Ovis aries: one gene and its partners. Each later gene encodes a partner of the first gene's protein in a complex. Links are inferred from orthologs where the notes say so. Each region holds a gene or a part of one and is shown in the gene's direction. Other genes may lie near its edges. The genes, in order: SNRNP40, SNRPB, PPIL2, BUD13, LSM4, RBM48 and LSM7.

Region 1 (3,500 bases):
GGAGGGGCCCCCAGCTTGTTTGCACTGGCAGTGATGACGGTACAGTTAAGGTGGGTGTTGTCTGTCTCTGTTGAGGGTTTCTGAGGTGACAAAATGTTACACTTACCTTGTCTTCCCACCTATGCTATACCCTTCTCTCCACAACTTTGTTTCATCAAACATTTCCCAAAACAGACACTCTTTAAAATACACTTCAGATAATAAGCAGTTGAGGTTTTTTTCTTTTTTTATGAATCTACAGACTGTTACAACCATGTAGAACAGTTGTCACTTGGAATAAAGTAGACCACCATCCAAGAATAATTAGATTCTTTACTTAGTGTTTACTGAATTATGTGACTTTAGGTTCACTTTTGTCATCTTCAGTTTCTCAGTCTTTAGTGACAGTAATATACATGTCTTACAAGGATGTTTTGAAATTTCAGTCAGTGTACAAAAAGGTCAGTACATGTTGTTTTCAAAGCTGTTGCTGAGTGAGGATGGAGCCAGGGTAAGTTAAAGCACTAGAAAGCCCTCTTACTAGGACGCAGCTGGTTTTTATCCTCAGTATTTACCTAGTTGCTGTAAACTTTAGTTTCTAGAGTTCTGGTGCAATTGATTTCTGACAGTTTTGCCAGTCTTCTGCTTTTCTAGAGGGACAGTCTTTGGGCACTCAGTACTCTGCCATTTTCATTGATGTAACCTCCTCTCCATATGTGTGTATATATATATTTTTAAATGTAAGTTGTAGCTGAATAATGAATTAAGATCTATAATTTCAAAACACTGGTCTAATATCCTTTGTGCAGAACAAATGAACTAGTAAACATGGTGAAGATGTCCACTCTAAGGGCATTTAATTAACCACATGTATTCAAACTTTTAACAAAGAAATCTGAAAATACAACCAAAGTGATTTATTCTACCAGCATTCAGATACATTGGCAAAATTATAGTCAGTTCTCACCATGTTGATGGGATAATCAGACAAATTTCTGAACAGGGTCCCTTTACAGATGTTTCCACTTCCGCAGTCCTTAGATTTATGGGTGTGCTGTGCAGTTGTTTCTTAGAGTGTTGTCATTATAGACTTTCTTGTCCTCTTTTTCAGCTTTGGGATATCCGCAAGAAAGCGGCCATCCAGACATTTCAGAACACCTACCAAGTTTTAGCTGTGACTTTCAATGATACAAGTGATCAGATTATTTCTGGTGGAATAGACAATGATATCAAGGTATTTTAGATGTTTATGTTCTATTTACTTTTCACCTGTCTCCATTTACAGAAGTAGGTCTTTCCAACTTCTTAACTTTGCACTTTATACCACCTACGTGAAAGATAAATTAGAACGTGTTTTCTTTCTGTCTTGTCTTTATTGACTTCTGTGTCAGGGTTGCATTACAACTTATATGGTCCCTGTCCATCAGGGACCAGGCAGTTTATATGAAGTGAGAAGTCCCTGTGTGGGAACTCTGAAAAATGAAGAGTGTATTCGCTGAGTAACAGCATTCGAAACTTTTTTTAACCTCCATTGCCTTCACTGAGATAGCAGTAAATCAGTTTGTGATTCTGTACCGTAATCTCTCAGTGTGTCTTTGTTTTTTAAACTATACAAAAGAAGTTTTGGGGGATCCATAGCTAAGAATGTGAGAAGGTAGTGATGTTGACGAAAAGAAGCAATAGACATCTCAATAGTATAATACAGCTCAAGCTTTCAAGTAATTGCCTTGGAGTCTAATCTCAGTTCTATTCTCTAATTTTTTGTGGCTTCACACTAGTTCTTTAACTTCTTTTGCTTTCTGTTTTATGTATGTAGTAGGGGTTAACAATATCTATCGCGTAGAGTTGTCTTGGGCATTAATGAGCCGAATGCAGTAGAGCACCTAGCAGAGTTTCTGGACATGGCAGGTGCCAGTAAGTATGAAATTTGTCGGGGGACGGGGGGGCGACTCAGTTTGTCTCTGCTTTTACTTATTGGCTTGCTTAGGTATTTCAAAGACTTTGACTTACCTTATGCTTTATCATGAGAGTAGTAATTATTGGGTAAATACTCAACTTCTTATGTTGTTTCTACCTAGAAATTGTACTGTAGTCCCATCTCTCCTTGCCTCCTTTGCTCTTACTATGAATGGAATGTCCTTTTATCTACCGGGAGTCCCTTACATGGAAAGATTTCAACCTTTCTTTCCTGTCTCTGGGACCTCATGCTGTCAGTTTTCCCAAATCCTATCCTTTTAACCAACTGTATTGCTTCTTATTAGCATTTCACCATGCTCAGGTCTTCTCTTGGTAGGGGAAAGAGTCTGCCTTCAGTTCCACATTGTCTTGTTATTGCCCTGTCAGTCTTCCCCTTTACAGCCAAGCCTCTTTAAAGATGGTGATAGTGGTTATGATCATAACACTGTTATCATCATCCTCTAACACTTAAATGTGTCAGGCATTGTTCTCAATACATGCTGTGCGTGTTTGTCCCTAAGTCGTGTCCAACTCTTTTTCGAACCCTGCCAGGCTCCTCATCCTTGGAATTTTCCAGGCAAGAATGCTAGAGTGGGTTGCCATTTCCTACTCCAGGGGATCTTCCTGATGTAGAGATCAAACACGCATCTCTTGCATCTCCTACATCAGCAGTTGAATTGCTTACCACTGTGCCACCTGTTGTTCTTAGAGCTTTACATTATAATTCTTTAAAGCCTCACAATGGACCTATGAAATAAGTGCTGTTAATGGGCTTCCCAGGGTCGCAAGTAGTTGGATAGGATTGAGCAACTGAGCACACGCACAATGCCATTTTACCAATGATTCAAAACCCAGAGTTTGGGCCCAGAGTCTTGCTCTCATTCATTTCAGTTCAGTTTAGTCGCTCAGTCGTGTCCAGCTCTTTGTGACCCCATGAATCGCAGCACACCAGGCCTCCCTGTTCATCACCATCTCCCGGAGTTCACTCAGACTCATGTCCATCGAGTCCGTGATGCCATCCAGCCATCTCATTCTCGGTCGTCCCCTTCTCCTCCTGCCCCCAATCCCTCCCAGCATCAGAGTTTTTTCCAATGAGTCAACTCTTCTCATGAGGTGGCTAAAGTACTGGAGTTTCAGCTTTAGCATCATTTCTTCCAAAGAAATCCCAGGGTTGATCTCCTTCAGAATGGACTGGTTGGATCTCCTTGCAGTCCAAGGGACTCTCAAGAGTCTTCTTCAACACCACAGTTCAAAAGCATCAATTCTTCGGCGCTCAGCTTTCTTCACAGTCCAACTCTCACATCCATACATGACCACAGGAAAAACCATAGCCTTGACTAGACGGACCTTAGTCGGCAAAGTAATGTCTCTGCTCTTGAATATGCTATCTAGGTTGATCATAACTTTTCTTCCAAGGAGTAAGCGTGTGAGAAATCCCCTGAATATTTTCTACACTCACTGTCTTTAATGCCTTATCTCCCTTTCATTTATCAATTCCATGTCTCCTGACCACTGCTCATCAGTCTGGCTCTGCCTCCATTGTTTTATTGACGCTGTTCTCTTCA
Region 2 (3,061 bases), on another chromosome or scaffold:
TTAGGTGGTGACTAGCTGGCTGGTTCCTCTCAGTTTGCTCTCCTGTTTTACAGGGCAGATTAAAATGGAGAGTTTCTTAAATCTCTTTCCTTAGTCTTGCTCTTTACTTCTAGCAGAGTACAAGTTGTAAGTAGGGCTGCCAGGCTTTTTATTTCTCTGATTTTGTGTGCCCGGGGGTACTGGGGTAAAGGGCTCTCATGTTCTCCCCACAGGTGTGTAAGGGGGGAGAGCTTGATTTTCTGGCCTCATTGCCTATTTGTAAAGCTGTAGCCTAAAGGGCTCTCACAGTGCAGCCTGGTCTGAAACTGCTTTAAGAAGCCTCTGACCCTCTTCAGGGTAAGTGCTCAACTCCCCTTGTGGGTTTGGGGCCAGTGATTTTTGTTGTCATTTACAGAAACAATTGGAGAATACAGTCCCATAATTTGTTAGATAATTCCCTTGTCTTAGGACTCACCGATCTTAAGCTTCTAGCCTGGTAAAAGATGTGGTCTAGTGTTTTATACAGTAAAGGCATCTTGAGGCCCAAAGAAGTTACGTAATTTCCTTGACCATCCAGCTCTCTTTTGCCACTGGAGTGTCCATAGTGTGTTACCAGTGGCTGTCAGTTCCTTTTAATTCTCTTTGGGACTTTTGTTTTCTTTGTGGCATGAGGTCAAGAAGTATAAGACAGAAAATGGTAGTGATGGCTGAGTGCCCGGTGTACATTAGAGAGTGGCCAACATTTTTAAATGAGACTAACTTTATTCTGGTAATGAAAATGTGCCCATTAGAAAATATTTTGTAAAAGTACATAGAAGTATATGAGAAAAAACTTAAGAGACCCAGAAAGGATTTTTTTTTTAAATTGTGAAAGGGCAGTACATGCTTTTTTTAAAAAAAATAAGAACTATAGATAAGTTTTAAAAAAGAGGAAAAAATGACCACCTATAGAAAATTTATATAAAATATCATTAAAATGAAAACTTTAAGTAATTTTTAAAAATCAAGATATTTTGTATTTCCTTTAACTTTAGGATATTGGCTTTGACTTTCCTTTCCCTGTCTTGTTGCAATTACTTTTTCCCAGTCTATCTCGTTTATATTTTGCTCATCCTTTTCTACTTGTGGATATTTGGAGATTTGTTTTTGTTCTTTGAGGATAGAAGTGTAATTTCTATGTAGCTAATCTCTTAACCTTTTCCTTTATGGCTTCTATTTCTAATATGAGGTGAGAGACAGAGTTATAGTTCTGTGGGGCTGAATTAATACTAGAAGGATACTGCATGTAAGTAGAGTGAATGGGATTCAGTTGACTTGAGGAATTGTTCCGACTGCCTTCCTGACATTGTTAAGGCCTTAAACTGAAGGAAGAAAAAGGGTAATGGCAACAAAGAGTTGACTGAGGGAAGGCTTTCACAGTGGCTTTGTGAGTGAGCCAGGGCTGGGCTTTCTTGAATCTTGTCCTGTCTCTTGGTCTGTGCATTCTCTTGGCATGGGAGACAACCATCAAATGGGGGGAGGTTACAAGTTTAGCCTGTCAGTAGATTTAGTGTAAAAAAAGTCTCGGAGGGCCCCTAGGTAGGTGAACATGAACTTTACCCTTTTTCTAATGCTGTTTTGCTTTGTTTTGTTTCTTCTCCTAAACCTGTCTTTAGACCAAAGAACTCAAAGCAAGCAGAGAGAGAAGAGAAGCGAGTCCTCGGTCTTGTACTACTTCGAGGGGAGAACCTGGTCTCAATGACAGTAGAGGGACCACCTCCAAAAGATGTAAGTCAGAACTGAGAGCCAGTGCAAGGCCAGGAACCTTGTGCAAGGGAGGTGCCACCCTGACCTGGGCCCTGTGTGGGGTTCTCTGTTTCATTGCAGTTCTCATAGGTATCTTCTGGTTTCTGTTTCCCTTATACAGATAATAAACCAGAATCTTAAAGAGGTTCCTTTGCAAGTCAGAAGTAAGGAACTAGGATTTGAGGGTTTGTAACTTTAAAGCCCTCTTTTCCTTAGTTGATGTACCTAGTCAATAGAAGAGGCACCTAAGGCCTCCTGGATCAGTTCTTAATGTGATGACAGTCTAGTTGGACCATAAAAAATTGTAACTCCAAACAATAGAATGCATGTATATTTTTTGTATAGTTATAGAATAATAGTTAATATTTAATTAAGCATCTGCTATTTGCCACGCCCTTCAGTATTTAATTCATGTAACAGTCTTTTGAGATAGATTATTCCCGCTTTATAGATAATGCCAATTGAAATTTAGTAACCTGCACAAGGTGGCACAGCTGGAAAGTGGTGAAACTGTCATTTGATTCCAAGCAGTATTGGTTCATTAACATCAGCCTCCCTTTAGAAATAGGAGAGGCTTTAGAGAATCTAACCAAATTTGTTTCCCCTTTTTCGTTTTAAGATAATGTTTGTTAAAGGAATAATCTTGTTACCTTGTGTTAATTTTTGTCCACATATATATATGTTGGGTTTTTTTAAACTTGTAATAGGTGTGTATCATTCTGCTTTTTAACTTAACATTGTAAACATTTTTCCAGTTGCTGTATTCAAAAGTCATGTTAATGACTTAAAGATACTTTCAAGTGAGTGCAGAGTAGTTTATCCTAGTTATTTCCTTTTGTTTAGACTCTTATATGCAAAGGATGTTACCATGTTTCTGATTCAAGGCCTAGGTACCTATTCATAGCTTTGGTATCTATTTCCAGTAGAATTTGCTACTCTAATGTAGCCGATTGTAAGCCTTCAGGACCACAACCAGTTTTGTTAAAACCTCTTCATTGGTAGATGAAGAAGCAGTACTAGAATGGTGGGATTACTTGCCCACTATCCCCACTATTACCCACCAAGTGAGAATCAGAGCTGGGACTGGACCTCATATCTCTTTGTCGGGTCAAAACACTAATCTAACATAGATACCCTTTGGGGTGGAGGCTTGGCTGTTTATTTGATTTTCATAGGAATGCATATTGGTTGAGTTGTACCTGTTTCTCTTGACTTAAAACCCTTAAGTTCTTTTAGCCTGCTGGGCATATAATCTTGGATGGAGGAAGAGTGGTGTTAACAGGAATGGATAGTGTTT
Region 3 (3,500 bases), on another chromosome or scaffold:
ATGCAGGAGCGGGGCCCGCTGCGCAGCGAGGAGCGGGCGGGGCCCCCGACCACGGCCGCCCGCCAGCGTCTCTGGGTCGGGAGAGGGCGGCGCTCAGGAGTGACTCTGCTGCCCCTCAGTCTCTCTCTGCAGCCCTTCACCTACCCGGTGTGCACTCCCGAAGGTGTCGTCTTTGACTTGCTGTGAGTTTCCCCTTGACGTCTAAGCTGGCAGATGTGGTGAGGTTGCTGGCACCCACCTGAGACAGGGCGGCGGGAGGGTGTGGGCTGCAGGCAGGGCCACGCTGCGGGCCTGCAGCCTCCAGAGCCCTGGGTGGGCCTCTTGGGGATGGGAGGGGCAGCACCGCTCTGACCTCTGCCTGGGGGCCCCCAGCGTTCTGATCCGCACCCCCTAGCTGTTGGAATATTGGAGAGTGTGTAGCTTTCACGTCACGAAGGCGGAGCCGTAGTCGAGGTGCCTGCCTCTCTGGTGCTGCCCTCGGAAGCCTCGTGCCCCGTCTGTGTTCCGAGGACGCAGGCTTCTGCCGTTCCTCGTGACAGCCTCATTTCAGAAAATGCGGAAAGCGCTTCAGATGAAGGGGAGACGGGCGCTGTCAGGCTGGGCCCCTTTTGCCTGGGAGGTGTTTGTGGGAACCTGGTAGAGATCACACCGCGAGGCTGGTTCCAGACCCACTCTCCAGTCACAGCGAGAGCGTTTCGCCCCCGTCGTCCAGAACTGTGCGGAGTGTGGTTCCGAGGCTGGCCCGGTACCCGCAGCAACGTGTGTGGAGGGCTTGCCATTAGTGGTGTTTGTCCACGCTTGTGCACAACGGCAGGAGAAACCCCAAGCGGCCACTGGTGCCTGCGCGGCCAGAAGCACTCCTTCCCGTGATGAGGCGGAGAGAGAGGGCGGAGCAGCCCCCAGCCCCTGGGCAGCCGCCCCCCAGCCCAGTCCCCGGCTCTGGCCCGTCGCCGTCTGACACGCTTGGTCTCTTCCTCCAGGAACATCGTTCCTTGGCTTAAGAAGTACGGGACCAACCCCAGCAACGGAGAGGTAGGTGGCCCTGCAGGAGCTTCGGTGAGGCCGGCGAACGCTCTAGTGTCACACGCGCCCGTGCCCCCTCCCTTCCCCACGCCTGTCCTCCGTGGAGCATGCCCCCCGCGTGCCCACATGTGGGGTCACACAGGGGCAGCCTCCTGCGGCGGCACCGCGGGCTTTGGCATCCCCTGCTGTTACCAACGCTGGCCAGGCGCACGTGCAGTGGCCCCCAGCCTGCCGGCCCCGGGGCTGCGTTTTCGGCCTGGTCACTCCTGGCACGTTGCCCTGGAGGAGTCGAAGCATTCTGGGCCCCTGCTGGTGGGTGTGAAGGGGATTCGGGTCCTAGACCCTCGGAGGCGCTGGGCGTCCCACCCCTCTGGGCGATGCTCCTTACGGGCTGTGTGGAAGCTAGCTTCCCACTGCTGGCGTGCTCGGTGTGCCGTGCTGGAGAGAACGCAGGATCGGCCCCTCCCGCCGCAGCCCTGCACACCTGCCACAGGCCTGGGCCCGGTTCCGCCGCGCAGGCTGCTCTCCGTTCCCTCGTGGCGTGCCTGCAGTTCACTCCCGGCGGGGTGTTAGCGCTGCGGTGCGGGGCCGGCTCTGTAGCGGAGCAGGACCAGGGACCAGGGTGCTACCTCAGAGGAGGACAGGGGCCTGGGGGTGTCAGGGAGCAGCGCCAGTGCTGTGAGACCCAGGGGTGGAGACCCTTGTTCTGGGCGGGAGTTAGGCCAGAGAGAGCTGCTGCCTGCCACACTGGCCTGGTGGCCTCAGCACCTCCGCACGCTAGCTGCTTCTGTATTTTCATTGATTCTGCTTCTTGCAGAAACTGGATGGGCGGTCCCTGGTCAAGTTGAACTTTGCGAAGAACAGTGAAGGTGAGCAGCCTTTCCGGCCTGCTCGGGTTACCCGAGCCCCACCTCTCTCCAGGTTCTTACCTTCCGAGCAGGCCAGACGCTTGCTTTCAGTTTATCAAAAATGTTATGCTGTCTTCCTAGAGGCACAGGTAGTTTAAAACTGGGAACAGATAAACTCAGACGCCCGACAGCGGCCGGAGGGAAGCTGGGGCTGGAGATGGGTGGCACACAAACTCGGCTCTCTCGACCCTGCAATCATCAATTAAGACACAAGGCCAAGAGGGCGCTCTCTAGATCAAGGGTGGTAAAAAATTTAAAAAGGCACAGTTGAGGGCATGAGCCTTCACTGTGGGGCACTTGGGCCGTGTGGGCTGAGCTGGGCCCCTGAGGGCACAGGCCCTGCCCAGCTGTGGTCCAGGTGTCACTGGAGACGGAGCTGCTCAGGCTGAGGCCCAGGTGGGCGGCTGGGCGTGGGGCTGGGGGCTCTTGGGCTCTTTCCGCTCGGCTCGGCATTGGTCGTGCGCCCCGGCCCAGTCCCGGGGCCCCGTGCTGCACCCCTGCGTGCCCTGCACTGCTCTTGCTAGCCGGACGCCTGTGTGGAGGCAGCCTCCGCGAGCACTGGCCTTGTTCTCAGTTCCCTATGGGCCTGGGCGTGTGCAGGTGCCCTGGGGGAGGGCTGGGTCAGGGTTTGCTGGTGGGTGCGTTCCGGGAATGCTTGGAGGCCGGCCAGCCCCCAGCAGGTGCGGACAGCAGTGAGGAGCCAGCCGGCCTTGGCGGCCCGGACAGTCTGGGTGCTGGGGAGCTCCTCGCTCCGAGAGTGGCTCCTTCACAAGCGTTCACTGCGTGCCTGCCTGCCACGTGCAGACAGTGAGGGCCAAGCCTCTCCTGAGATGAGAGGGCGGGCTTTGGAAATGAGGTCACTGCGGTGGGTCAGACTCGGCCTGTCCTGGGGTCAGAGGTGAAGTGGGCCAAGGGAGAGGGGCTGGGGGCCAGCTGATGGAGTTTGAGGGGGGCTCTGCAGACAGGTGGGGCGTGCCCTGTGGGGAGAGCGCTTCAGGCAGAGGCCCAGCCGTGACAGGCCCTGCGGCGCGGGGCCCATTCTTACTTGCCCGGTATGAGTGGAGCAGGGGCAGGGGCTGTGGTCTGGGGCAAGCTGAGGCGGGGAGCCCAGCAGTGTCTCGGGCTCAGATTCGAGCAAGGAAGATCTGACCCAACTTGGTTTCTTTTAATTACTTACTTGGCTGCGCCGTGTCTTGGTTGGAGCATGTGGCATCTAGCTCCCGGACCAGGGATTGAACTTGCATTGGGAGCATGGAGTCTTAGCCACTGGACCCCCAGGAAATCCCCCTCAACTGTGCCTTTTTACATTTTTTACCACCCTTGATCTAGAGAGCGCCCTCTTGTGTCTTAGCTGATAGTTCAGGGTCGAGAGAGTCGAGTTTGCGTGCGGCCTGTCTCCAGCCCTAGCTTCCCTCCAGCCGCCGTCGGGCATCTGAGTTTATCTGTGGTCCCCTCCGCTGTGTCGGTGCCTTCGTGCCGGTTCACGCTTAGGTATTTGAGTGTGTCTCTAAAAGCTAAGGACTTAAGAAACGAGACACTCGTCATACCTAGGAAGTTAGTATGAATTTG
Region 4 (3,500 bases), on another chromosome or scaffold:
ATATTCTCTCAGTTCCACAAATCTCATTTTAATAACTTAAACAAAACTTCCTATTTTTTATGAACAAACTGAGAACGTAGTTTACAGAGTGAACCTAGGATCACGAACTTTGTGTTAAACAGATCACACATGGAATTCTACTTCTTATGTGAGATTTGAGCAAGATACATAATATCTCTAAATCTCAGTTTCCTCATCTTTAAAATGTAGATGATGGTAGTACATACTTCAGGTTCTTTTGAGAATTAAATGTGGTAGTGTAAGTAGAACTCTTAGCCCAGGGCCTGGGACAAAGTAACCATTTAGTGTAAGCCATTTACTATTATAAATTGGACTGTAGGTCTCTGTATCCAGAGCTTAAAGAGAGGCATTTAAAATATAAAACGACTTTAAAAATCATATCGCCTGGGAAGTAAGGGTTTTGTATTATTTTAAATCTGCAGTGAAGGCTGACTTAACAAAATCCACATGAACCCCAAGAAATTGTGTTGTAAAGAACACCACTACTAGTACAGAAATGTTATTACAAAAACAAAAAAAGGAAAGAAAAAGAACTGTTATTCCAGTGAGTTGGTTAAGAAAGAGGCTGTGATGTCCATGTTACCTCAACACAGACTTTTCGGGACAACACAGACTCCTCTATAGTCCATGTGGTCCTGGTAGGGACCAGTCAGTCCCTAACCCAGGATGTAGGGAACGGACTGAGGTCAGTGTTTCAGCTGGACCCAGTGTCTTTTTTATGTATCTGCTTAGTCCACGGACAATTTAATATTAATCAGATTTAGCACATTGCCTTTTTTTGGCCATGTTGCATGGTATGCTAGATCTTTGTTCAGTTCCCCAGCCAAGGATTGAAAACCACTGGACTTCCAGGGAAGTACCTAGCACATTGCTTAAGGATATTAGGATATAATTTATATACATTGATCGTGGGGTGGTTTGTTATTTTGATACAGGGTGGGTTTTAGTAAAAAGTTTGGATTTGGTCATATCTTGTCATTATCCTGACATATAGCCACAAATTCACGTTTGAAATTGATAGGTTTGCTTGACTTTGTGATTTAAATGGAATATTTTCAGTGCTGATCTCTACTGAAGGGCTCAGAGCTTGATAGAGGTTTCTGATCAGGTGACCTGAGAGTCTTCATGTATGCAGTTTATATGCTGAAAAGTCAGAAATACAGATGCTTAGCCTGCCCTTTGGCTCAGATGGTAAAGAATCTGCCTGCAGTGTAGGAGATCCGGGTTTGATCCCTGAGTGGGAAGATTCCCTGGAGAAGGGAATGGCTACCCACTCCAGTATTCTAGCCTGGAGAATTCCATGGACAGAGGAACCAGGCAGGCTACAGTCCATGGGGTCACAAAGAGTTGGACATGACTGAACGACTAAAAGTTTCACTTTTTTCAGCCTTCCCTTTAGTAAATTGTTGGTTTGTGTTTCTGTTTGCACTTAAACTTAACAGTACTGTTAATTTTCCATGAAATTCAGTTTTATTTCTTCTATTTTGCCAATCCTATGGTTGATACTGAGAATAGAAGGTAGCGTTTTTGGTTTGGTAATTGCTGATCCTCAGACGTAACTGTACACCACGGAGCCTGTTGCCACATTGTCTCATTAATGCTGGATGCTCCCTTTTCCATTGCATAGGCTGCGCACATGTATTCTGGGGCTAAAACTGGGTTGGTGTTAACTGACATACAGCGAGAGCAGCAGGAGCTCAAGAAACGGGACCAAGAGACCATGGCGTTTGAAGGTAAAAATGTGAAAGTGCAGAGACCAGTTGAGGCTTATGTAGCTTTTACTTTTAAAAAATATATATAGCTAATTTACCTGATATTTAAAAATTTTAATTGCTATCAAATTTCAATTCTGGTTTTCTGCTTTGTTTTAACTTCTCATTGGGTGCAAGTGGATCTTTTCCTTCTTAAAAAATGTTAATTTTCAGAATCATCACCAATATGCATTTAGATGTTGGTAAGGACTACTTGTGGTCTGGCTGTGAAAATTCTTATCCTGCATCAGAACACTAATTGGTTGACTTCAGCTGTTAGAATGTTATTTCTGATTTTGACACCTTTTCGTTTATCTTTAAAAGTGTACTTTTCCTTTGCAGCTGAATTCCAACATGCTGAAACTGTATTTCGAGATAAGTCTGGTCGTAAGAGGAATTTGAAACTGGAACGTTTAGAGCAGAGGCGAAAAGCAGAGAAGGACTCGAAGAGAGAAGAGCTGTATGCTCAGTGGGGCAAAGGGTAAGAGAGCCACTGAAAGGCACACAAGACTGCAGTTACTGGAGGAAATAATTTCTGTCCTCTCCTGACCAGTTAGTTCATTGTTCTGCCTCTAAAGCTGTTTTTAGCAATGGGAGCTTCAGTGTGCTCAGTCTGCTTCCTACAGTACTGACATGTTTCACACTTCTGGTTGGTATTCTGGGAAGTTTACCTTTTTCAGTATTTGCCATAGACTGTTAGGAAGAGGAGGAAGTATGGTCCATCTCAGTGTAAGAGTAGAGATGTTACACAGGATAGCAGACACTCCTGGTTCTTTTTGTCCAGGCTTGCCCAGACCCGGCAGCAGCAACAGAATGTGGAGGATGCAGTGAAGGAAATGCAGAAGCCTCTGGCCCGCTATATTGATGATGAAGATTTGGATCGGATGCTGAGAGAACAGGAAAGAGAGGGGGACCCCATGGCCAACTTCATCAAGAAGAAGGCGGCCAAGGAGAATAAGAATAAGAAAGGTGAGCCTTCTGGGAATCATCAGAGATAGAGGTGATGTATGTGAAGAGAGAGAATCATTAGAATGACGATACTAAATATGTGCAAAGAAGGTGGTCCTGTATAATTTCAAATTCCTTCTATTTGGGAATTTAAGTTGAACTCAGTCAGAGATTTCCGTATAAAATATTTTTTCCTCACTACCGTTCAGCTATGAATTAAATTACGTAGGTAACTAACTTTTCTCTCTCTCCTGTCTTTAGTGAGACCTCGCTACAGTGGCCCTGCGCCCCCTCCCAATAGATTCAATATCTGGCCAGGGTATCGCTGGGATGGAGTGGACAGGTAAGCCTGAGTATTCCCTACAGTTTTATTTTCTCTTCCTTGTAACCCTGACCTTCCCTGGCTGTTCTCAAGTCGTTGTACACTCTGCCTCGTTCTCTGCTCTAACCACAAGGTTAGTAATGTGCAGTGTGCTTGCTTCTGTTTCTCAAATCCCGTTTCCCATGCTCATATCACTCCTCTTTCTCCTCTTTCCCTTTTCAAAGCTTTTTAAAGCTCTGGGTAAATAGCCGAAATGGTCCAGATAGATACCTTTTTTTTGATGTTGGTCACTTCTGGTGATATTCTCTTAAGGTTTAGAGGGGATTGAGTGATGGGTGCTAGTCTGTAGCCTTCTGTATATTGTATCTTTAAAATGTAGCTCTTGAACCTTTTCTTCACTGCCTTAGGAGTGAGTCACTTGTAATGTCGTACTGATCCCTACCACCTTATCTCTTCAC
Region 5 (3,240 bases), on another chromosome or scaffold:
TACCCTGCGGGGGCGACGCCAGGCACAGGGAGCCTGAGTGGATGGATGCTGCCCGGCTGCCTACACGTTCCTCCCCACGGCTCTGACACGTACCCCCTGTTGCAGGACGGGGACAAATTCTGGCGGATGCCCGAGTGCTACATCCGCGGCAGCACCATCAAGTACCTGCGCATCCCTGACGAGATCATCGACATGGTCAAGGAGGAGGTGGTGGCCAAGGGCCGTGGCCGCGGTGGCCTGCAGCAGCAGAAGCAGCAGAAGGGCCGCGGGATGGGGGGCGCCGGGCGAGGTAGGCCCTTCTCTCCGCCCTCTCCCCTGGCAGGCAGCCGGGGCCTCCCCGCTGGAGCGTGACTGCCGCGCGCGGCATCTGGCCTGGCCCAGTGCTGGCATTCTCCGCTGGTGGCGTCATGTTGCCGAGGGCCTGGCTCTGCGCCCCTCCTCCATGGCACTGGGGGGCTGTGACTCACGGGGCTCTTCTGTGGAACAGTTGGTGCTGCTGGTTGCCACCTGCATGCCCCGTGTCCCCCACCCCAGGAGCCCAGCTAAGCCCTAGTGGTCAGTGCTGGCCGCGCCCATCCTCACAACATGGGCCCTCCTCCCCGCAGTGGCTCTTGGTGCTCCCTCAGCTCCAGATGCCGCCCAGCAGACTAACCCAGCACCCACACAGACCTGGGACTTGAGCCCCACCTGTGTTTCCTGGCAGGTGCTCTGGGCACCTCGGGGAGGCTCAGATTCCCCCCTGCGGAGAAGATCCCCGTGGTGCCCAGCCTGGGACCCTTCCCTGCTGTGACTCCTTTAGACAAAACCAAGGTCACGCCTTTTGGGTAGATCACCCCGCACCACCCTGAAATCATAAATCTTGCATAAAACTAAACGTGCAGTCAGCTAGAGCCGCAGCCCAGAGGCCAGCTGTGGGCCCCACCCTCCCCCACCCGACTTCTGTCTCACCCACCTGGAGGGGCTTGTATGCCAGGTTCCAGGAACCCACCCTGGAGGCTTATATGCAGAGCCAGGAAAGACATAGGAGCCCCCCTGAGCTGAGGCTTGAGTGACAGAAAGGAGCCAGAGAGAAGAGGGCACCGCAGGTGGAGAAGAACCTAGGATGGGGGTGAGCAGGGCCCCAGAGGTCCCAGGACCTGCCCCCAGGGCTAGGCTGCCCACCCAGGGTGCCATCGCTGTCGAGTAAACTGCCTGAAGGAGCAGGGAGGACAGGGAGAGGCGCTTGCATAGGGGCCCCTGCATGACCAGGCTCCCCTTGCCCAAGCTGGGTCTTGCTCCATTAGAGATGAGGCTGGGCAGACCCTGTCAGCCCTGGCCCTGTCCCCTGTATGCGTGTGGAGGAAGGGGGCCCTGGAAGGCCAGGCTGCTGCTTCTGTGACTTCCTGGGCAGGGGCTGCACCCACCCTTGGGCTATTCACCTTCCCCAGCAGCAGTGCTGTGTGCTCCACGTAAAATGCCTTTCGGAAACAGCCCCACCTCTGGCTGCAGAGGTCAGAGCTCAGGAGGCTCCCCCGCCCCTTCTCTGGGCTGGACACACAGAGACCCCACCCCACCCCATTGTTTCAGCAAGGCAGGGTGGGGTCCCCCGGTGCAGCCCCAGTCACAGAGCTGAGCATCGTTGCTCCACCCCTGGGCTGAGTCCAGGCCTCATCCTAGCTTGTACTCCCAGCTCCTCCTGGAAACCCTTCTGATTTTGTCCTGCTGATGACTACCCACCCCCTCACCTTGGCCCTCAGCCCTCTCTTCCAGGAAGCATATCCCCCCCCCCGCCGCCGCCCCCGCAAGCCCCAGTGTGACTTGATGCCAACCTCTGTCCTTCTTGGCATCCTTCGCACCCCTGGGGCGCCTGGTCTGATATCCCTTGTCACACTGAGAATGTTGTGGAGCAATACCCCTGCCCAGCCCTGGTCAGACACTCCATCTCAGATTTTCAACCTGCTCTTCCCACCGACGGTACAGTCACTGCCCCCACTTTACAGAGGTGAAAGCTGAGGCTCAGAGGGGTTCAACGACTTGGCTATAGTCTAAGGGTTCCAGTTCCTGGTCCTTGCCCACAGTGACCCTCCCAGCCTGGCTCTACTGAACCCCCCCTCCTGTCTCACAGGTGTGTTCGGTGGCCGGGGCCGAGGTGGGATCCCTGGGACTGGCAGAGGTCAACCAGAAAAGAAGCCAGGCAGACAGGCGGGCAAACAGTGAGCCGCCCCTCCATTCCCGAGACTGAGCTGCCGCGCCGAGCACCTGCTCCCACCCTGAGGCTGCATTCCTGGTCTCCAGTTTATGACTGTTCAGAACAAAAAGAAGAGGCAGGGGTCGGGGAGGACCCCCTGCCTGTCCTCTGGTGGTCCTCCTCTTTTTTTGTTAGCCAGCAGTTCTATGGTTGGAAATGTTAATTCTGTGCTTCTGGTTTTGTGAAGCCGCAGCCAACTGGATTCCTGGAAGATTCTGTGTTTAATGCATCGTTAAAGCCCTCACTCTTGTTTTAAGGGCAGGCATTTTCCAAACAGGTTTGTTTTGCATTCTGTGTGGTAAACAGACGGGAGGTTTTTATTTTCAGCTGTTTGCACTGAGATTGATAGCCTGGAGGGTCTCCTGAAACACGGACCCTGAAACTGCCTTTTCGAAATGGATCCAGGCAAACGTATGCCTCAGAAGCTGTTCTGGGGGATGATGCTGGGCCCTATTCCGTCCCTTCTTCTCTCCCTCTTTGTCTTAGAAAAATAAAAACAAATACAACTACAAACTGCGAAATCCATAATTCCTTTGAACCACTGGGTGAATCTAGTTGTAGTGTCCTCAGGAAATCACAGCCCCCACGCAAGAAGTTTCCTTTTGCCCCCTGTGGCCTCTCACCAAGGGGAAGCATTTCAATGGGACACTGGTTCCCATGACCCTCAGCAGCCTCTTACAAAAGGTGGAAGGCAAAATGGGGGTCTGGGCAGTAGGGGAGCCCCTTCCCCTCTGTGGGGCGGTGGGGGAGGGAAGTTGTGGGTGGGAGCCAGTGGGACACCCACACTGCCTGTCCTCAGCCTCCATCTCTGTTGTGCAAGCACTGTTCACAGCAGAGCTCCCTGAGAAGCCGTGACATGGAGCTGCCTCCAGGAACACATGAGGAAGGCTTTTCACGAACTGTTTACCTCCTCTTAGGGTCGGGGCACTTGCCTGTCCGCGACTCAGCGATTTGCCTGAGACGCTGAGCCAGCACTTGTGCGGAACACTTCCGGCGATGTGGTCCTTTGACCG
Region 6 (3,968 bases), on another chromosome or scaffold:
AGACCAGGTGCCCCTATTTTATAATTACGAAACTAGGGATGTGGTTAGAACTATGAACTACCACAATCACAATGTCCAGAGGGCAACTAACTGCAGAGGTCCAAGTATGCATAATCCCACTGCACGTTCCGGGCACACCTAGGAGGTATTCCGAGCAGCGGAGACGCAGCGAGAACCTTCATCTTATTAACCTATCTCGCTCGCGGCTCAGTCTCTATTAATTTACAGGGACTCCTGGGCCACAGCCAGGCAGGCGCACCTGGAAACCACTGGCAGGAAAAACGTTTTTTACGATCGAAACAAAACAAAATCCGCAGACAAACCCGACTTCTCCAAAGCTTTTCCAACCTGGAGTGAGGAATAGCTGAACTCAGAGAGAAAATTATCAGGATGTTTGAGAGCCCAGTTTCACCGAGTGAAGACCTGGAATACGTACGGCAAGTTAACGCAAAGGCCCGGGGCTGCACCCGACGTGGTAGGGCTGCAAAGACCGCCCGGACCGGCCCTGCTCCAGAGCGGCCCACGTTCTGGCTGATGAACAGGTCGGCGGCGCGGGGAGAGCAGCCCGCGTCCCGCCGTCGGGAGACGCCCGAGCGGCCGCTGCGTCCCGAAAAGGCCTGGGTCCCGGGCGGCCGCAGACGGCCCCCGAGGAGTCCCGAGTCCGGGCTGGGGAGTCCATGGGGCGGGCGCGTTACCTGGAGCAAGTGCAGCTGGGCCACTAGGCGCCGCGGCAAGTGAAGGAAGCAGTCGCGCGTGCTGGTGAAGGCCACGGTCACGGCCGCCCCGCCAGCAGCACCCGCCAGCCGACCGCTGCCCCACATCCTCCGCCAGCGACGGCCCCGCCGGAGGCCCACCCCAGCGGACCCGGGCTGCCTGCGGACCGAGGGTGACCGGGCCTGCTACGCTCGATCGGCCCCGCCCCCAGGCCCCGCCCCTCGCGCCCGCCGCGCCTCGGGAGCTGGAGCGGCAGGCCAGCCCAGTCCGGCTCGCCGGGCCTCTCCGCCGCGCCGCTGGAGGGCGGCAGCTCGCTCGCCGCCTACTTGCTCACAGGAAACGATGGCCAACCCTGTGGCTCCTTCAGCCAATCTCGGCGCGCCTTGACCCATCCCTCTCTCTGATTGGGTAATCAGGAGGGCAACAGGCGGATGTTGTCGTCTCTGCGAGGGCCAAAGCCGGCAAGATGGCGTCCAGTGGAGGGCAAGTTGGGGGCGTATTCGATCACCACGTCCAAAGGGCTGTGTGTGACTCGAGAGCCAAGTATCGGGAGGGCCGACGGCCTCGCGCTGTGAAGGTAAAGTGATTTTGGTTTCATTCGTTGTCGTCGGTAGCTTTATGTAAGCTGTAGCTTCACACGCCCAGTTAATGTAAATAAAGTCTTGAAAGGCTGCGGTCACATCCATTTGCTGGAGATGAGTGTGAGGGACGCCGGTACCCAGGTAGCAGATACTCTCGCGGCCTCTTTAGTCAACTGTTGGAGCTCCGTGAAAACGGGGTATGTGTTTTAGTCGTATCTTCCGTGTTTACAGTAGTGAATATTTAACTCTTTCCTGTAACATTTACCGAGGCAGCTTCTGAAGACATGTCGATTGGAGGTAGTCTATTATGTGCTTTAGCTCGAAGCCCTCACATGTAGGGTGACTTATTGTTTCTACAAAGAGAAGGGCAGATTAAAAACAAAAACAAAAACACCTTTTCTGCAGACCTGAACAGAGTAGTTCTTGTTTTCAGGGTTTTTGTTTGTTTGTTTGTTTTGAATAGTAACAGGTTGTCCTAGGCTTGTTTGTGAAACACATTTAATGCGTGTGCATTTCTTTTAGGTCTATACAATCAATTTGGAGTCTTGGTACTTATTAATACAAGGAGTTCCTGCCGTGGGAGCAATGAAGGAATTAGTTGAGCGATTTGCTCTATATGGTGCAATTGAACAGTATAATGCTCTAGATGAATACCCAGCAGAAGACTTTACAGAAGTTTATCTTATTAAATTTCTCAATTTACAAAGCGCAAGGTAATATACAAGTCAGGCAGTGTCTCATTTCCTCTGTTCCCATTGCTATCATTTTGGCCTCCCTCATTCTTTCATGAATTACTCAGTAATCTAACATGGCTTTTTATTTTTCTCCAGTATTCTTAATGTAAGTGTTAGCTTTATCAAAAGTCTGTCCATTAGGTCATCCCCATGTGTAACCATTTTCTGTCTTGTAGTGTGGTAGATTAAAAACTGGGTTTGGACTAAGTTTTCAGGTTCCACTGCTTACTAACATGATGACCTTGGACAAGTTATTTAATCCCATTAAACCTGTTTTCCTGTCCTATAAAATGTGTAAGGATGAAATGAGATAATCCATGTAGAGGGCTTAGCAGATGCCTCCTGCTCAGAATGCGGTAAACAACATTAGCTGTTAGGTTTCTTGTTATGCACCTATATGAATTGACCCCATCTTTTTTTTTTTTTCTTCTGAATAGCATAAATCCTCTGCTGTAGTAAGGGAAATATGAAATGCCTCATCTTATATTCTTGTCACTAATTTGCTTCAAGACCCATCCCTTCCCTGGCTATTACAATTCACATTTTCTGTGCTACAAACAGTACTGGGGTATATGGGTCATATATTGTTCTCCAGTTGCTCTTATGTATAATCTCACTGCCCTAACCAACTTGCCAGCTCCTCATGGTTAGGGAAGTATATTTCCTTATTGTGTATTCATTCCATGAAGCTTTTGCATCTCCCACACCCCTTTTACAGTGTGACATGTGGATTTGAATCCTGGCTCCACAAACCAAGGTGAGCTTGGACAAATAATCTCCCCATGCCTCAGAGTCATCATAGGGATGTTGAGAAGTGTGATTTCAAGTGAAGCATTTAGGCCACTGCCTGGCACATGGTAAAATCTCAGTGAATATTTCTTACCATTTACCTTGGACACAGAAGTACTTAATTTCGTAGTAATTCCTGGCCAGTCATAGATGTTTAGTAAGTATACATTAAATGAATACTATCCTCTCCTTTTCTCATTTACTGTTATATATTTGTGTTTTCTCCATTATTAAATGTTTATAATTGTAATATTTTTATTAATTTCTTATCTTTGAACCCCATTATAGGAACACATTGTGCTAAAAAGGCTAAGCTGGGCATGAGCTAATTTTTGAGGGCCTTTTAACACAGAATCTCTATTTCATGACCACAGATTGTGTACCTCAGGCCAACCAGCTGAATCTTATGTTGGTTAAAGGGAGTCTGGATATGTTTGGAAAACTTAGCTTAAAACCTATGAAGACTCTTGGGAGAGGGGGAAAAAGGCTCTGAAAGAATATGCAGTGGATCAGTAGGGTCAATACCATTCACGTGCAGAGCATCGCAGCTCCGAAGCTATAGGATTTATGTATACAACAAAGTCTGGACTTTGCTTTTTAGATCAATGCATTGTATGCTGGTTAAGCTTTCACCCTAAGTAAACCATGGTATCGTGAATTTCTGCTTAGGATGGCCAAGAGAAAAATGGATGAGCAGAGTTTCTTTGGTGGCTTGCTTCATGTGTGCTATGCTCCAGAATTTGAAACAGTTGAAGAAACCAGAAAGAAATTACAAGAGAGGAATGCTTATGTAGCAAGAATGACTAAAAATAAAGGTATGTAAAGCCTACTACTAAACACCTCCAATGTGTCAGGCATTTTGCTGAGTTTACCCTCCTAGAGTTTTCCCAGTCTAGTGACTATAAGCTACGAAGTTTTTTCTTTACAGAATGTTATGTAATCTTGCCTGGGAAGGGATAGATGTTATTTCATGGAAGATTCCTGCAGGATGAGAATGGTGGCTGAGTTCTGAAGGGAAAGTAGACATTACCCAGAAAGGGAGAGGAACAGATGGAAAGATGGGCCAGAGGAATAAATGAGCGTCATGCATTTTAAGGAACTGTGAGTAATATAACCACAACACAGCAGCTGACATGTGAATCTGAGATAA
Region 7 (4,139 bases), on another chromosome or scaffold:
GGAATGTGGCACCCCTAAGCTGAGACCAGAAACACAACGTTGGAGGGAGTTAGGTTTCAGGGAAACAGAGCCCAGTGAGCAAAGTGCCTTTAATATGCTAGAGTTGGAAACAAAGGATGGTTTCCTGTCAGCCGGATCACAGAGTCCTCCTGAATGTGTCAGTGGCACCAGAAAGCTCTCATTTGGACACAAGATCTGACACACTTTGAAAGAGATCCCTCCTGCAGGGCTGAAAATGAACTGGGAGTTTGGGGGACAAAAGCGGCCTTGGAGAGAAGCCAGCAGCCTGAAGCAGAGGTTGGGGGGCTGGCACAGAAAGGGCAACGTTAATGGCCCAGTTTGTAGGGCTGTTGGTGGGGGGGGCACCATTTCCGGAGTTATGGAATTTGGGAGAGAGGGAGGGTTTGGAAAATAAAAAATGCACTCAAGGTAACGTACATCAGCCATCTCCAGGTCTGTCCCCCAGTGGCGACCCTTGAGGTTAAGTGACAAACAAGTAGCATGCCCCACGTCCGGGATCCCCTACATCATCTCGCTGACTGCGCACTGTACACTTATCCTCCTTTTGCAGACGACCAACTCAAAGCGGGAACTCCCCTGCCAAGGTCACGGCAGAAAAAGATGGGGCGGCGATTCGACCCCATTCCAGGGCTGGGCTCCTGGACGCTTCTCGACGCCGCCAGTCACTGGGTGCCACGCTGGGCAGTTGACTACAACCACGGGGAATGGGGGTAGTATCGCTTTCAAGGGGATGCCAGGGTCAGAGAGGGGTAGCCCCCGACTAAGGCCACGGAGTCAGAGAGGGGAGTCCCAGAGGCGGTTGGAGACCCCGAGACAGACCAGCAGGGGCCGGGGCGGAAGCGGGGTAGTGGGACCTAAAACTTTAGGTCCGGGCGGAACCCAGTGACACCACGGCTGGGAACGGCGTCCAGACAGAGAAGGGAGACCGGCCGGGGGACAGACCCGCAAGGTCACGGTCGGGCCCCAGGCCCACGGGTTGCCGGCACCGGGGGCGCGGATCCCCTAAGCTGGCCCCAGGCCGGTCAGGGCGGGGTTCTGCGCGGGGCCAGGGAGGGGTGAGAAGCCGGGGCACCGTGGCCGGCGAGGCCAACGGGGTCGGCGCCGCCCTCACCTGGGCCGCGAGGAGAAGGAAGGCCGCTGCGAGCCGCGCCAGCGCCGCCGCCGCTGCCGCCGCCGCCATGTCGCCCGGTCCCCGCCACAGGCGTCGGCAGATGTTTCCCAGCAACGCCCCGGCGCAGAGCGCCGCGCAGGCGCCCTGCGTCTTTCGCGCATGCGCGCAGGGGTAGGTACAAAGGGCGCAGTGGCGGCGCCTGCGCATAGCGACGCGGCGCGACAAGATGGCGGTGAGCGTGCGGCGCTGCTGGTGGGGTTGGCGGGTTTCGCCGGGCTGGCGGGGTTCGCCGGGCTGGCGGGGTTCGCGGGGCTGGTGGGGTTGACTGGGGAGAGTCCAGCCGTGCTCCCCGCTTCACAGCGTTCTGCATCCCCTGCAGGACAAAGAGAAGAAAAAGAAAGAGAGCATCTTGGATCTATCCAAGTACATCGACAAGACCATCCGAGTGAAGTTCCAGGGAGGCAGAGAAGGTGAGGCCCCGCTGCCCTCCCCCTCCACAGTCCACGAGGAGTAACGGGAGGCGGTACCGGTAACGGATGCCTGGGCCGCGCTTTAGGCGCTTGGCTCGGACAACTCGTCCGGCCTGCTGCCGGCGCCGGCGTATAGGAACGGTTACACCCCTTTTGCAGGTGGGAAAACTGAGGCACGCAAAGGGGCCCAAACCTCGCCCGCAGCCACAGGGGCTAGGATTCAGGTCTCTGCTTCCTTTGGGTCTTGTCTCACCCTGGCGGCTGCCCCAGCCCCCCATGGGCCCCCTCAGCACCAGGGTTTCTCAGTTTCAGCACTGCTGACATTAAGACCGTATTGTTCTCTGTAGGGGGCCGTCCTGGGCGCTGTAGGGTGTGGAGCAGCATCTCTGGTCCCATCCACTCGATTCCAGGAGCCTTCTAGTTCTGATGACCACAGGCATCCCAGACCTGGCCTGGTGTTCCCTGGCAGGGGCAGAATTGCCCCAGTTGAGAACCCAGGCCCTATACTCAATTTACACGAAGCCACCTGAGGCACCTTTTGAAAGCAAACCTCATCTCCTTGTTCACCACTGTTCCAGGGTAAAGAATGAGCCTTTTGCTTTTGAGTGAGGCAGGCAGCTCTCAGCTGCTTTGGGAAGCTCTGCTTGACTCTGCATCCCAAGTCAGGGTCCTTTGGTATAAGCTCCTGGTAACAGCTGTCAGGGCTTGGCAGGTTTTTTTCAGTTACTGTGAGGCTTTAACTGCATCTCCCTCTGCGATCTCGTGAGGAGACTGGCAGGAAAGATGATGCAAGGTTACGTGGAGAGTGCCGTCCAGGGCAGAGCCCCAGCTCACTGGCTGTGGGACTTTGGGCAAGTCGCTATAATCTCTGAGTCTGTCTCATCTGTCAGAGGCTGTTAACTCCACTTACCTCAGCAGTGGTGGTGAAATTAAAGGGTAATGTCATTAGCCAAGTTCCTGACACTTAGTCAGCACCCAGTGCTTCACTTATTCAGCTATCTCTGATCTTCAGTTTCTTTGTTGGTAAGATGGTGATTCAGACGACTCCTCCTCTGAGATGTGGACGCCTGGGTAGCATCAGAGTGGCTAAAAACACAGTGCCTGCCCGTCTAGGTACCCAGCCCAGTGAGGCTCTGAATCTGAACAAACACTGGCACCATGCCGGTTCTGGGATGTACAAGGAGATGGGGCTCCTGCTTCTCAAGGCGCTTGTGTTTGTCTTTTTTTAATTAATTTAGCTGCATAAGGTCTCAGATGTCAGGCCAGGTCTCTCTAATTATGCCATATGGGCTTAGTTGCTCCATGGAATGTAAGACCAAGGATGGAACCCACATTTGCTGTACTGCAGAATGAATTCTTAACCACTTGGACCACCAGGGAAGTCCCTTCTGTTCATTTTCTGTGCTTCAACAACCCATTTTTATCTCACAGCACCTGTGGTTCCAGACTCCAGGTGCCTCAGGCTCAGGTCTCTGACGAGGTTGCAGTAAGGGAGCATCTCTGGGAGCCTGTATCTCAGGCCCGGGGTCCTCGTTTTCTGGCAAGTGTTGGCCAGGGACCCTCTGGGCTCCTAGAGGCTGCCCACTGCCTCTGCCACAGACACTGTCCACAGCATGGCAGTTGACTCCTTCAAGGCTAGCAGAAAAATCTAATTTTTTCAACTTCTCTTTTCAGAAAGGGCCCATCCTTTTAATGGCTCACCTGTAGGTCAGGCCCACCCAGCATAGCCTCCCTTTAGATCCACTAAGAGTGGACTGATTCATGGACCTTGATCACATCCACGAAGCCCTCTGTTACAGCCTGACCACAGACTGACGTCTGATCGAGGGTCCCATCTCACATCAGAGGGAGGGGTGGGGGAATGCTGGATTCATCTGAAAATCCCACCCACCTGCTGCGGCACCTCCCCCAGTAAGAAGGGAGGATCCACAGGTGTGGGCTCACTACCCAACCCGGGGCCAAGTGCCCAGATGGATTCTGGGATTTGTCACTCTCCATCACCCCACTTGGTGAGCACCGTCACAGGGTTGAGGAGGGCTGTCAACAGCAGAGGAAGCAGAGCCAGGGCCTCGCACTCAGGCAGGCCTGGCAGACTTGTTCTGCAGAAGACCAGACAGGGAACATTTTCAGCTGTGCTGGCCAGACGGTCTCTGTCGCAGCTCCTCAACTCCACCATTCAGCAGCTGAGCTGCCACAGCGACATTTACCAAATGAGCGGGGCCGGGCTCTAGTTAAACTGTTTACAAAACAGGCGCAGGCGGATTTGCCGACTGTTGCAGTGGCAATGGTGTGGGGTCAGCTGTCACTGCTCGTCTCCTGGGAGCCCTTCCCTTGCTCCCCCTTTGGTCCTGCATCTGTCCTGTCCCTGAAGAGGCTGCTGCCACGCCTGCGTCTGGCTGGGGGGTGGTCCCTCACCAGTGAGGGCACCCCAATTTCATGTGCTGACACCCTCGTGCAGCTCGCACTTTACCCAGAATGACCATTGATCTTATGCTTGTCCATCTCTCTTCTCTGCTTGGTGATTCCGATAAGCCAGT

The links.
Region 2: SNRNP40 (region 1) and SNRPB share a complex: the UniProt entries of both Homo sapiens proteins name them as parts of the U4/U6-U5 tri-snRNP complex. The link is inferred for Ovis aries from reciprocal best matches to the Homo sapiens genes SNRNP40 and SNRPB.
Region 3: SNRNP40 (region 1) and PPIL2 share a complex: the UniProt entries of both Homo sapiens proteins name them as parts of the minor spliceosome. The link is inferred for Ovis aries from reciprocal best matches to the Homo sapiens genes SNRNP40 and PPIL2.
Region 4: SNRNP40 (region 1) and BUD13 share a complex: the UniProt entries of both Homo sapiens proteins name them as parts of the minor spliceosome. The link is inferred for Ovis aries from reciprocal best matches to the Homo sapiens genes SNRNP40 and BUD13.
Region 5: SNRNP40 (region 1) and LSM4 share a complex: the UniProt entries of both Homo sapiens proteins name them as parts of the U4/U6-U5 tri-snRNP complex. The link is inferred for Ovis aries from reciprocal best matches to the Homo sapiens genes SNRNP40 and LSM4.
Region 6: SNRNP40 (region 1) and RBM48 share a complex: the UniProt entries of both Homo sapiens proteins name them as parts of the minor spliceosome. The link is inferred for Ovis aries from reciprocal best matches to the Homo sapiens genes SNRNP40 and RBM48.
Region 7: SNRNP40 (region 1) and LSM7 share a complex: the UniProt entries of both Homo sapiens proteins name them as parts of the U4/U6-U5 tri-snRNP complex. The link is inferred for Ovis aries from reciprocal best matches to the Homo sapiens genes SNRNP40 and LSM7.

What each region holds. Positions count from the first base shown.
Region 1 is NC_056055.1:236,101,907-236,105,406, forward strand, and holds part of SNRNP40 (U5 small nuclear ribonucleoprotein 40 kDa protein), read left to right. Parts: coding exon 1-50; intron 51-1,090; coding exon 1,091-1,213; intron 1,214-3,500. UniProt on the Homo sapiens protein: Required for pre-mRNA splicing as component of the activated spliceosome. Component of the U5 small nuclear ribonucleoprotein (snRNP) complex and the U4/U6-U5 tri-snRNP complex, building blocks of the spliceosome.
Region 2 is NC_056066.1:52,396,632-52,399,692, forward strand, and holds part of SNRPB (small nuclear ribonucleoprotein-associated proteins B and B'), read left to right. Parts: intron 1-1,634; coding exon 1,635-1,746; intron 1,747-3,061. UniProt on the Homo sapiens protein: Plays a role in pre-mRNA splicing as a core component of the spliceosomal U1, U2, U4 and U5 small nuclear ribonucleoproteins (snRNPs), the building blocks of the spliceosome.
Region 3 is NC_056070.1:72,128,805-72,132,304, reverse strand, and holds part of PPIL2 (RING-type E3 ubiquitin-protein ligase PPIL2), read left to right. Parts: intron 1-119; coding exon 120-182; intron 183-980; coding exon 981-1,032; intron 1,033-1,840; coding exon 1,841-1,892; intron 1,893-3,500. UniProt on the Homo sapiens protein: Has a ubiquitin-protein ligase activity acting as an E3 ubiquitin protein ligase or as an ubiquitin-ubiquitin ligase promoting elongation of ubiquitin chains on substrates.
Region 4 is NC_056068.1:27,150,694-27,154,193, reverse strand, and holds part of BUD13 (BUD13 homolog), read left to right. Parts: intron 1-1,648; coding exon 1,649-1,754; intron 1,755-2,114; coding exon 2,115-2,253; intron 2,254-2,556; coding exon 2,557-2,741; intron 2,742-2,981; coding exon 2,982-3,063; intron 3,064-3,500. UniProt on the Homo sapiens protein: Involved in pre-mRNA splicing as component of the activated spliceosome. As a component of the minor spliceosome, involved in the splicing of U12-type introns in pre-mRNAs.
Region 5 is NC_056058.1:4,695,295-4,698,534, forward strand, and holds the end of LSM4 (U6 snRNA-associated Sm-like protein LSm4), read left to right. Parts: intron 1-105; coding exon 106-289; intron 290-2,104; coding exon 2,105-2,196; 3' UTR 2,197-2,740; downstream 2,741-3,240. UniProt on the Homo sapiens protein: Plays a role in pre-mRNA splicing as component of the U4/U6-U5 tri-snRNP complex that is involved in spliceosome assembly, and as component of the precatalytic spliceosome (spliceosome B complex).
Region 6 is NC_056057.1:10,622,833-10,626,800, forward strand, and holds the start of RBM48 (RNA-binding protein 48), read left to right. Parts: upstream 1-1,168; 5' UTR 1,169-1,180; coding exon 1,181-1,291; intron 1,292-1,817; coding exon 1,818-2,008; intron 2,009-2,014; exon of another isoform or gene 2,015-2,712; coding exon of another isoform or gene 2,713-2,786; intron 2,787-3,487; coding exon 3,488-3,633; intron 3,634-3,968. Other genes in the region: peroxisomal ATPase PEX1, read right to left, coding at 696-821. UniProt on the Homo sapiens protein: As a component of the minor spliceosome, involved in the splicing of U12-type introns in pre-mRNAs.
Region 7 is NC_056058.1:19,032,477-19,036,615, forward strand, and holds the start of LSM7 (U6 snRNA-associated Sm-like protein LSm7), read left to right. Parts: upstream 1-1,339; 5' UTR 1,340-1,358; coding exon 1,359-1,364; intron 1,365-1,511; coding exon 1,512-1,602; intron 1,603-4,134; coding exon 4,135-4,139. Other genes in the region: SPPL2B (signal peptide peptidase-like 2B), read right to left, coding at 1,133-1,339. UniProt on the Homo sapiens protein: Plays a role in pre-mRNA splicing as component of the U4/U6-U5 tri-snRNP complex that is involved in spliceosome assembly, and as component of the precatalytic spliceosome (spliceosome B complex).